Macaca mulatta: one gene and its partners. The protein of the gene in region 3 purifies or fractionates together with the protein of the main gene of each other region. This does not show direct contact. Links are inferred from orthologs where the notes say so. Each region holds a gene or a part of one and is shown on either strand. Other genes may lie near its edges.

The links.
Region 1: the proteins of CDYL (region 3) and MIER1 purify together in Homo sapiens (co-immunoprecipitation; 3 studies listed by BioGRID and IntAct, counting the BioPlex papers as one, with this or other methods). This does not show direct contact. The link is inferred for Macaca mulatta from reciprocal best matches to the Homo sapiens genes CDYL and MIER1.
Region 2: the proteins of CDYL (region 3) and EHMT2 purify together in Homo sapiens (affinity purification with mass spectrometry; 4 studies listed by BioGRID and IntAct, with this or other methods). This does not show direct contact. The link is inferred for Macaca mulatta from reciprocal best matches to the Homo sapiens genes CDYL and EHMT2.

The regions. Positions count from the first base shown.
Region 1 is NC_133406.1:173,690,369-173,694,722, forward strand, and holds the start of MIER1 (mesoderm induction early response protein 1), read right to left. Parts: upstream 2,840-4,354; 5' UTR 2,801-2,839; coding exon of another isoform or gene 2,797-2,800; coding exon 2,734-2,796; intron 2,629-2,733; coding exon 2,448-2,628; exon of another isoform or gene 2,296-2,447; intron 1,694-2,295; coding exon 1,593-1,693; intron 1-1,592. UniProt on the Homo sapiens protein: Transcriptional repressor regulating the expression of a number of genes including SP1 target genes. Probably functions through recruitment of HDAC1 a histone deacetylase involved in chromatin silencing.
Region 2 is NC_133409.1:150,423,238-150,426,890, reverse strand, and holds part of EHMT2 (histone-lysine N-methyltransferase EHMT2), read right to left. Parts: intron 1,042-3,653; coding exon 907-1,041; intron 782-906; coding exon 667-781; intron 504-666; coding exon 402-503; intron 183-401; coding exon 34-182; intron 1-33. UniProt on the Homo sapiens protein: Histone methyltransferase that specifically mono- and dimethylates 'Lys-9' of histone H3 (H3K9me1 and H3K9me2, respectively) in euchromatin.
Region 3 is NC_133409.1:178,275,156-178,277,487, reverse strand, and holds the end of CDYL (chromodomain Y-like protein), read left to right. Parts: intron 1-91; coding exon 92-250; 3' UTR 251-1,731; downstream 1,732-2,332.

The DNA of each region.
Region 1 (4,354 bases), on a different chromosome or scaffold from region 3:
TTTTAGTCAAGTCTCTACTCTGTCAAAATAGTAATCTCTCATCATGCTTCTACTACCAGGCTTTTTGCCTATGTTTAAACACCTCCAGTGACTCACTATATCTCATAAAAAGGCTCCTCTTTTCAAAAAAAGTTCAAATGTTTAAAACATTCTTTTATTATGCCAGAATCTACCTCCTTGTTGTTTCCATCCATTACCCTTAGTTCTTCAGCACTTTGGATTAATTCAACAGATATCTTCTTTGTATCCAAATGCAAACAGTTAATATTTATACTTGGGTTAACAAAAAAAATATTTTTAAAGCCTATTCATACTAGAAGAGTTGAAAATAGGACATGACAGAGCTAAAGGCATGAGAAAATGCACCATTAATTGTGTCTGCTTAATTACACCTTGTTATTTATTAATGTGATATCCAAAACAGTAGTTCTGTTGAAATTGTGTATAAAATCTTTAAACTAAAAAAGTGTGGTGAATTCCAATTTTATGTGAGGTTTGTGATTAATGTCCCAAAACAAAAAACCACTATAGAAAGCCTGAATAAATGCCTCTTCAGCTCCTATTGCCCACCTAAAAGCTGCCTTATTTTCGGGCAAACTAACATTAATTTTTATGACATTAAGCTACTCAAAACTCCTATTATATTGATAAATCATTTGTAAGCAATTTACTGAATCTTCTATTCAAAATTATTAAACAATTCTATAGAGGCTATAAGGCGCACGCACACACAAACCCCTCAGTTATTATTATGCTTTTAACAAAAGCATTTAGTATCACAATCTTACTTCAACCAGTACCTTAAACGAACCAATGAACAAACTTCTTCAGCAATTTACATATACCTAAGAAATATAACCTTTTATTCAGTACCAACACCTGATTCAAATACAAGTAACATATATATATATCATATATAAACCTGTTATGCAATCCAAAAAGGTACCTCTCAAAATGCACCAAGAAAATACTGTATTTATAACAGTTTAGCCTCTGGGGTTAGCTGATTGAAATAGATTAATACAACACATCCAAAACTAAAAAATTCTGTATCTAACAATTTTCAGGGTCCATGAGTCTCTTTTGAGATTAGTTTATAAACTATTTCCTGAAATTTTTATTTAAAAGCAACAGCCTACACTATGCCTTTATGATGTGGTGGTAAAATTGTATGGATAATTACTAATTTGGTTGAAAATTCCTAAATCTAAAAAACTTAGCCTATTACATTTAGAAGCCCCACATCTATAGTGACAATCAGCATCATCTTTTCATTAGTCTCATTTTTTATTATTAATGCCACTCTAAAACACTTATGTAGGCTTTTGGTTCTTCAAATAACAGTTTTGGATTTTCTTTTCATAAGTTTTACACAGTTCTATCCAGTGGCCCCATTTTATCAGTATATTACAAACTGTATGTTTATGGTTCTTACATTGATGACATGTTATTTTTATCTCACCCAAATTCTGGAAATTTTTGGCCCATCAATTCTCAAACACTGGAACATATAAGAAGAGTAATATAATCTCACATTACTTGAGGGAGTTTGGCTTTTCCCTCCCTTAATCTCCAAGCGTACCCCTGCCTACCAGCATCACATCCGTCTTGTCTGCATTGAACCTCAACCAGTTGGTTCTTAACCACGTCCGAAACTCAGCCAGGCACTGGGAGAATCGAGCGACCACACCATCTGGATCAAAGGAAAGAGAGCCTCAGTAGCAAGGAGACAGAAACGAGATACAAGCTCACCATCTACCGTTTCACATGTTTAAAAAGATGGTCGGGAATTAGGACAAGGATCCCATGACAATTTTAGAAAAACATTTAATGAGCCTTAAGTCATGCAATTTGCAACCAATGGTAAAGGAATAAAAGCGACCCAATAAATAGGTCGCCTCATTCCACCCATGAGTGAAGAAGATTCAGTCAACTCCGGGTCATCTCGGTGAAGCGGCCTCAATAGCCAAGTCAATCTTGTAATTACGTAAGTTCTTCTGCAGAAATACAGAATTCTAGCGTTGGAGGAAGCTTTAAATAGGGAAAACTGAAGCCCAGAGAGGGATAGTGACTCGCTCAAGGTCACACAGCATGCAGGGACCACACAGGCTCCAGGCCAGGGACCTAACCACTACAAGCTGAAACAACAAGACTAAAGAGCGGCAAGCATCTGTCCCAAGGGATCCTCCCACGCGCTAGGAGGACCTCATTTCCTCACAGTAATACCCTATTCGAGTCTCTCCTCCCTCCCTGACTCCATTCGAAAAGGGCAGGTTGGCCCAGGGCGCTGCTCACCATAAAGGCTGCAGTGCAAGCGGGAGCCTCCTGGGACTGGGACACAAGTGAGGGAAATACAGGAGAAAGAGGCGGAGCCACAGCGGGTGGTCAGCTTAGCCCCACCCCGACTGGGATCAGGGACCGAAGCGAACGGGGCGAGGCGAACTCACTCCGCAGCGGATTCCCAGCGCGCCGCCGCCACCGCGAAGGCAAAAGGGCGGCGCTGGGAGGTAGTGGGCGGTGGCGGGGAGGGAGCTGCGCATGCGCCTTCGGCCGCCGACGGCGAGCAAGCCAGGCGCGTTCTGAGGCAGCCCCTCCCCGGAAGTTAAGGGTCTTCCGGGCGGTACACTGCTGTGGGGGAGGGGAAGGAGAGAAAGGGGACTGAGGACACCTCAGGAGCCCCTCATCCCAAACTGGAACAGAAGGGGAAAGATGGCTTGTGGAGGCTGCACTTACAGCCGCTGCCGCTGCTGCCGCCGCCACCTTCGCTGCTGCCGCCACCGCCTGAAGAAGCCCCATCCATCCGCCTGCAGCCGGGAGACTCAGAGCCTGGGAGGGGCCTGAGGCCCGGGCCGCCCGCCTCCTTCTTCTAGTCGTCGTCCGGAGCTTCCTCCTGCTCCACCAACCCTCTGCCCTCCCCTCCGCCTCCGCCCTCCTCCTCGGCCTCGTGCCGCCAGCCAACCGCGCGGCCGCTTGTTGAGCCAGAGCTCCACCGTCGCCATGACGCCCGGCAAACATTCCGGATCCTCGGCCCGAACCGCCAACGCAGGGGCTTGGAGGTACAGGGACTTCAGAGGCGGCCAGAAAAGGGGTGGTGGACCACTCCCCAGCTGGTCGCCACCATGCCAGTCTCTCCGGCAGGCAGTCACAAGCAGCAGAACTTCAGGTTGTAAGTTCCGGCGTTAAAACCGTAGTCCATCCCCCTGGGTCCCGGAGGGAGCCCTTCTATTAATAGATATTTCTGGATTTGGAAAGGGCCGTACCCCAACTGGGTTCATTCTCTAGACCTCGAAGCGCCCAGGCGACAAATGGCTCCTTTATCGACCTACCACAGTCTTTAAAAAAAATCTCTACTGGGCCGGGCGCGGTGGCCCACGCCTGTAATTCCCAGCACTTTGGGAAGCTGAGGCGGTTGGATCATCTGAGGTCAGGAGTTCGAGTCCAGGCTGGCTAACATGGTGAAACCTGGTCTCTACTAAAAATACAAAAAGTTAGCCGGGCCTGGTGGCACATGCCTGTAATCCCAGCTACTTGGGAGACTGAGGCAATTGCTTGAACCCGGGAGACGGAGGTTGCAGTGAGCCGAGATCGTGCCATTGCTGCCTGAGCAACAGAGCGAGACTCTGTCTAAAAAATAAAATAAAATAAAATCTCTACTGCTGTGCTTGCTCTGTGAGAAAAGACCTGGTTTGTTTAGAACCATCCTTCCTCCTAGCACTTCTAGTTTGTTAAGGCCTGCAATCTCTCAAGCTTGATGCCTTCATGCTGTGCCCAGACGTTCAAGAGCCTCAGCTTCTGTGAGCCACCAGGCCAAACATTGCTGTGCTCTGTAGTAGAGGTATTTTATTGTCCTCTACTCAATACCATCTTACCTTAAAACTAATTCCTGCTTCCAGCATTCTACTGTTATGCATCAGTTGGACAAGACTGGAGAAAAGCACACAGCTATGTGGACTTGTCTTTAAATGGTTCCTTAGTACTGCCCATAATACTGTCCACTAAGTTCCTCCAAAGTTCCTTAATTACTTGTTTTCTCTTCCCCTCTCCAATCTCCTCCACCTCAGCTAATCTTTCTTCAGCGGAACTTGTTGAGAGTTCTTGGGAGAGAACCTTGCATTCTCTCTCGAATATGGTACTCACGCTTTTGTCCATCCTACCGCTCCACCAAAACAGCTTCTATGCAAGTCAGCAATAGCCATGCAGCCAAATACAATGGCTGATCCACAGTTTCATTCTTTGTTCAATGAAGCAGCGTTGGTCTAGTTTGTTACTTCTTGAGCTTTGAAAAGCTGTATTTGGGTTCTGAGAAACCACTCTTCCTAGTTCTTGTCTTAGTTCGTGGTTTCTCCTTTTCCAG
Region 2 (3,653 bases), about 28 Mb from region 3:
CCTGGCACCTCTCCCACCAGCCCATGGCCCCACCTCTCCGTCCACACTCTCGGTGGCCATGCACTTGTGCCCCGCCCTCTCGCTGATACGGTCGATTTTGGGTGCCTCCATGCGGCAGCTGCACAGGGGCAACTCCTCAAACCCTCGCTCTGTCTCCAGCGAAGATGTGTCATTGGACACCCCTTGGACGGAGAAAAAGAGGAGCTGAGGGAGGCCCTGAACTTCACCCATTGGGACCCCTGGCGGGTCCTGTCACTCCCTCCCTACCTCACCCCCATGCCCCAGAACCCCTAAAGCCTGGCCATGGACACCCCGGCTCTGGCGTGGTTCCCCTCCTTCCCTTTCCCTCCTGCCCTGAGGTTGCCCCCTAGTGGCTCCCTGTCCCGGCAATTGGCAATTACCAGCGTGGTTGGGGGAGAGGGTCCCCTCGCTGGGCAGCTCCAGGGACCCCAGAGGGACCTCCATGTACTCACTGGGGCCTGAGGAGCCCACACCATTCACTCCTGACACAGAGACAGAGAGAGTGAGAGTGCGAGCTCACAGGTGCCTGGACGCGTGGGTACATGCAGGTGGACATGCGAGAGAGAGCGTGTGTGTGCGTGCACACACTCTGGGGGCTGGGCGGGGGCTGGAGGAGGGCACCCAAAAGCAGCAGAGCCTCCTTACCTCGTGGCTCCTTGGCCCGCGGAGGCTCCCGCTTGCGCCGTTTCCGAGATGGCTTCACCCATGGGCTGTCTTTTCGCCACTTCTTCTTGGCCTTGCGCCGGCCACTGGAACCACTCTGGGAAGGGGGAGGAGGAGGAGTTACGAACCCTCACCCCAAGGGGGCCCCCCAACAACTTCAGGACCAGACCACCAGCCCCACAGTCTCCCACTCCTCTGGAGATATCAGCCTCCGTCTCTTACCCTATCTGACTGATTCCCTGACTCCTCATCTTCCTCTTCTTCTTCCTCTTCCTCCTCCTCTTCCTCCTCTTCTTCTTCCTCCTCTTCTTCCTCCTCCTCTTCACTTAGTTGTTCAGTTAGAGCTTCAACTTCAGACTGGGAGAGAGGCAGAACAGGACATATCCAATCCCCAGGACTCAGACAATGAGATAGATTAAAAAAACCACCACCACCATTGCCCCCCGCCACTACCCACGGATGGCTGCTGGGGAAGATGAGTGTGGGTAGGAGAGGAGAAAAAGGGCCACATAAAGAGAGGGTGCATGGACTATTGCACAGTAGTGAAAAAGGTGCCACAGTTATAGACAGCAATGTACACAGATCTTGGTAATGTGACATTAAATTAAAAAACAAAAAACAAGTACCAGAAGATAAACATAGTTTGATCCCCCTTTTATGATGTTCATAAACAGGCAAGACCACCAATGGTTGCTAAAAACACTAGACATGAAGCTCATGAGAAATTTTATATGAAAGGTTCAGGCTGCCATCACCTGAACCCACTGGTCAATCTTATCACTAAGAAAAATGACCAGATGAGATGTTCCATGCATCCTGATGTGATGTGGCCAGAAGCACTTGCACCCACTGTCAAGTCTTCTTGGCACCTGAAGTCGATTACGCCTCTAGATCTACCAGTTTACAAGAAATATGGGCAGAGAGGATGTGTCAATCTCTACCCAAACAGCCAACGTCATACAGAATGTGAAAAATTCTATACAACTGACCTGGTTTCTTTGACAAATAAATGGCAAGAAAAAAATGTCTTTCTTATTTATTTATTGAGTTTCGCTCTTGTTGCCCAGGCTGCAGTGCAATAGTGTGATCTCAGCTCACTGCAACCTCCACCTCTGGGTTCAAGCAATTCTCCTGCCTCAGCCTCCCAAGTAGCTGGGATTACAGGTGCCTGCGACCACACCCAGCTAATTTTTGTATTTTTATTAGGGATGGGTTTTCACCATGTTGGCCAGGCTGGTCTCCTGACCTCAGGTGACCCACCTGCCTCCCAAAGTGCTGGGATTACAAGCGTGAGCCACCACGCCTGGCCAGAAATTTTTTTTTTAGAAGATGGGGAAACCAGGCAGGTGTGGTGGCTCATGCTTGTAATTCCAGTGCTTTGGGAGGCTGAGGTGGGCAGATCACAAGATCAGGAGTTTGAGACCAGCCTGGCCAACATAGTGAAATCCTGTCTCTACTAAAAATACGAAAAATGAGCTGGGTGTGGTGGCGGGTGCCTGTAATTCCAGCTACTTGGGAGACTGAGACAGGAGAATTGCTTGAACTCAGGAGGCGGAGCTTGCAGTGAGCCAAGATCGTGCCACTGCACTCCAGCCTGGGCCACAGTGTGAGACTCCATCTCAAAACACAAAAACAAACAAACAAACAAACAAAAAGAAGATGGGGAAACCTAAATACCAAGAGAGACCTAAGACAATTTTTTTTTTTTTTGAGATGGTATTTTGCTCTTGTTGTCCAGGCTGGAGTGCGATGGCACGATCTTGGCTCACTGCAACCTCCGCCTTCCAGGTTCAAGTGATTCTCCTGCCTCAGCCTCCTGAGTAGCTGGGATTACAGGCATGCACCACCACGCCCAGCTAATTTTGTATTTTTTTCAGTAGAGACGCGGTTTCTCCATGTTGGTCAGGCTGGTCTCGAACTCCTGACCTCATGTGATCCGCCCGCCTCGGCCTCCCAAAGTGCTGGGATTACAGGCGTGAGTCACCACGCCCGGCCGACCTAAGACAAAAGTTAATCAAATCAAGGTGCGGGCCTCATTTGGATCTTGACAAAAACCCATTTATGAGAGCTGAGGAAATGTGAAGACTGACAGGATGTTTGATGGTATTAAGAAATCAGTAGGCCGGGCGCGGTGGCTCAAGCCTGTAATCCCAGCGCTTTGGGAGGCCGAGACGGGCGGATCACGAGGTCAGGAGATGGAGACCATCCTGGCTAAAACGGTGAAACCCCGTCTCTACTAAAAAATACAAAAAACTAGCCGGGCGAGGTGGCGGGCGCCTGTAGTCCCAGCTACTCGGGAGGCTGAGGCAGGAGAATGGCTTGAACCCGGGAGGCGGAGCTTGCAGTGAGCTGAGATCCGGCCACTGCACTCCAGCCTGGGCAACAGAGCAAGACTCCGTCTCAAAAAAAAAAAAAAAAAAAAAAAGAAATCAGTAATTTTTTTTAGGTGTGAAAACAGTAGTGTAGTGATGTTGAACGACAAAAAGAGGCCTTATATTTATATATATATACACATATGGAAATACATTTAGGTAAAATGATACGAGGTCTGGGACTTGCTTTAAAATAACCTAGTACGTGTGTGTGTTGGGAGAAGTACAGATGGGTCAAGATGGGCTGTGTACTGATAATGGCTGGACCTGTGTGATGGGTACACGGGGATTTCCTATTCTACTCTTTTGATAATGCTTGCAAGTTTTCATGATAAAACGTTAAATAAAAGACAAAACTAGACAGACTAAACATTCTACTGTGTAGGCAAACATAAGATAAAACCAGACAAAGAGCAACGAATAAGCAAATAAATGACAATGGAATGCTTTTGAATTTCATATAAACAGTATAACGTATGTTTAAAAAAAGTGCTCTCTGGTCATTTCCTTTTTTGTTTTCTTTTTTTAAACAGTACATGTTTGTTTAATGATCATTTCATTAGCTGATAAAAAAAAATCGTAAATCCAACGTGCAGG
Region 3 (2,332 bases):
ATTGGATGATCGCCTCCATAAATGTGGAGGCACAAGGGACCCGTGTCTGCCAGCACGCACCCTGCTAACTAGCTCTTGTTTTCCGGCGCAGGTGCTTGAGGAATCCAAAGCCCTTGTGCGCTGCAACATGAAGATGGAGCTGGAGCAGGCCAACGAGCGGGAGTGTGAGGCGCTGAAGAAGATCTGGGGCTCGGCCCAGGGGATGGACTCCATGTTAAAGTACTTGCAGAGGAAGATCGATGAGTTCTGAGTGTCGGGCTGCCCACTGGTGACACCGGGATCGGGCTGAGCAGAACTTCACTGGCTCCAGTTGCCCTGATCCATTCTCACAGCCTGAAACAAGCTCACCCGTAGCTTACACTTGGAAGCAGGACTGGGAACATCCACGCTATTTATTATCAAGGAGTTTTAAAGTACTGTAACCTTAAAAAAATAACTACAAAGCTTCTTTGTCCAAACGTCATTATTTTATACTTAGATACACGCAAGTGTAAAAGTATAAAGATGGGCACTAGACTGCTCTTAGAAGCTCTAATTTTTGTTTTCTTTGGCTAGTACTGTATAAAAAACAGAATTGTGTTTTACTGGTTTTGGATGACAGAAAAGTCTGGAATAATGTTTGTTTTCCTCATTTCTTCCTTCTAGAACGCAGAATCTACAGGGGTATTAGCCAACCTCACCTGCCCTGCCCCACTTAGAGACACCGTGATCTGAGGCGTTGGCTTTTTCTCTAAAAAGGTACAGATACCTCAGATTCGGGAAACTCTAAATCAAAAGACTCAGCTTCTAGGATAAATATTTCTGATGAAAAATCCACTGAGAAGCTTACCCTCAAACCAGACATATGCTTAGGATTCAGGCTGAGATATCAATTGGTTTCTGCTTCTTTTTTAAATATGTCCAGTTCTTACCCAGTTAACATGAAGAAACCACTGTCTCTAGAAGAAAGCTTGTTTTGCAGTATTAGTGAATCACTGAATAGCTTAAGTATGACTAAGTTATAAGTTAGTCTTTAGTGGGTTTTAAATAGTTTTTCTGACCCTTCTGAAAAATAACTACATAAGTGCTTCTTGTTGCTGGTTGAGAAGTACTACTTTATAGACAGTTTTGGTTTTCTATTTGCAGATATGATTGATGTATTACACCAAAATAAAATATTTTTATGTTTATAAAGTGTAATTTTTAGGTTCACTTAGAATATATTTTATTTAATAAGTTAAAATTCTTTTGGCACACTATTAAATGCAAAAACTCCTTTCAAAACAAAAAAGAACTACCTTATATTCACCATTTAATGTTCTTGGTCTCTGCTTTTATGTCTATACAGTATACTGAGCTCAGTGTGGTGTCCACGAGTGCCCTGTGTGGATAGACACGTGCTCTTCTTCCAGGAGTGGGTACTGACTCCAGACTCCAGATGCCTATTATTAGGCTTCTGAGCTTGCAATCATATTGAATGTATGAAGAGCGAAATAAAATCAAATTCTTATTTTTGTACAGTTTTGAAGTTTATACTTAGAACTGACCACCTCCCCGGCCACGTGGAGAGCTGTACAGTGTGTAAATCTGCCTTTATCTTGGATTGATTAGTACAGTATTTTTGCATCTGTGGGACCTACCTTTTCGTTCCGTAGTTTGAACTATATATAAACTGTACAATCTGTAAAGTTTTTATAGAATAAATATTCAGCTGTGAAAACTGGTTAAATAAAACTAATATTTCTTAACACATCTGAAATGTTTCTCTGATTCTTGTGAGGTTTCTCCTGGGATGTTTTCTCTCTGTGTGTGTGTGTGTGTGAAATATACATATGTGTGTAAAGCATCTGTACAGTTTAATGGAATGAAACCCTGCATGACTATCACCTGGGCAGGACCTATAATTTGACCAATATCCTGCCTGGTCACCTTCACCCAGGTGACCATTTCCTGAATTTGTGTCCATCATCCACTTCTTCTAAGAACTTATTCCTAAAATAAATTACTTTTAGTTCTATGTATTTTTAACCTTTATATCACAAAAAAGCTTCTGTGACTGACTTCATTCAGTGTTACATTTTCTCTTACATAGAGTTGTAACTTACCCCTCCTCTACCCAAACCTGTCATGTGGCTATTTTCACTCCTGTTTTGCAGATGAGGAACCTGAAGAATTAAACACATGCCCAAGGTCGTGTAGGTAATTTGATCAGGAGTAGCACCAAGCTTTTATCCAAGGTCGATGTGGCAAAGCACATATTCTGACAAAGACACTAAGATGTCTGTTGTAGAATTTACAAATAGGGAACCAAGTGAAATCTCCATCTTCCGAGACTTTGCATCCTCTGGGCCTT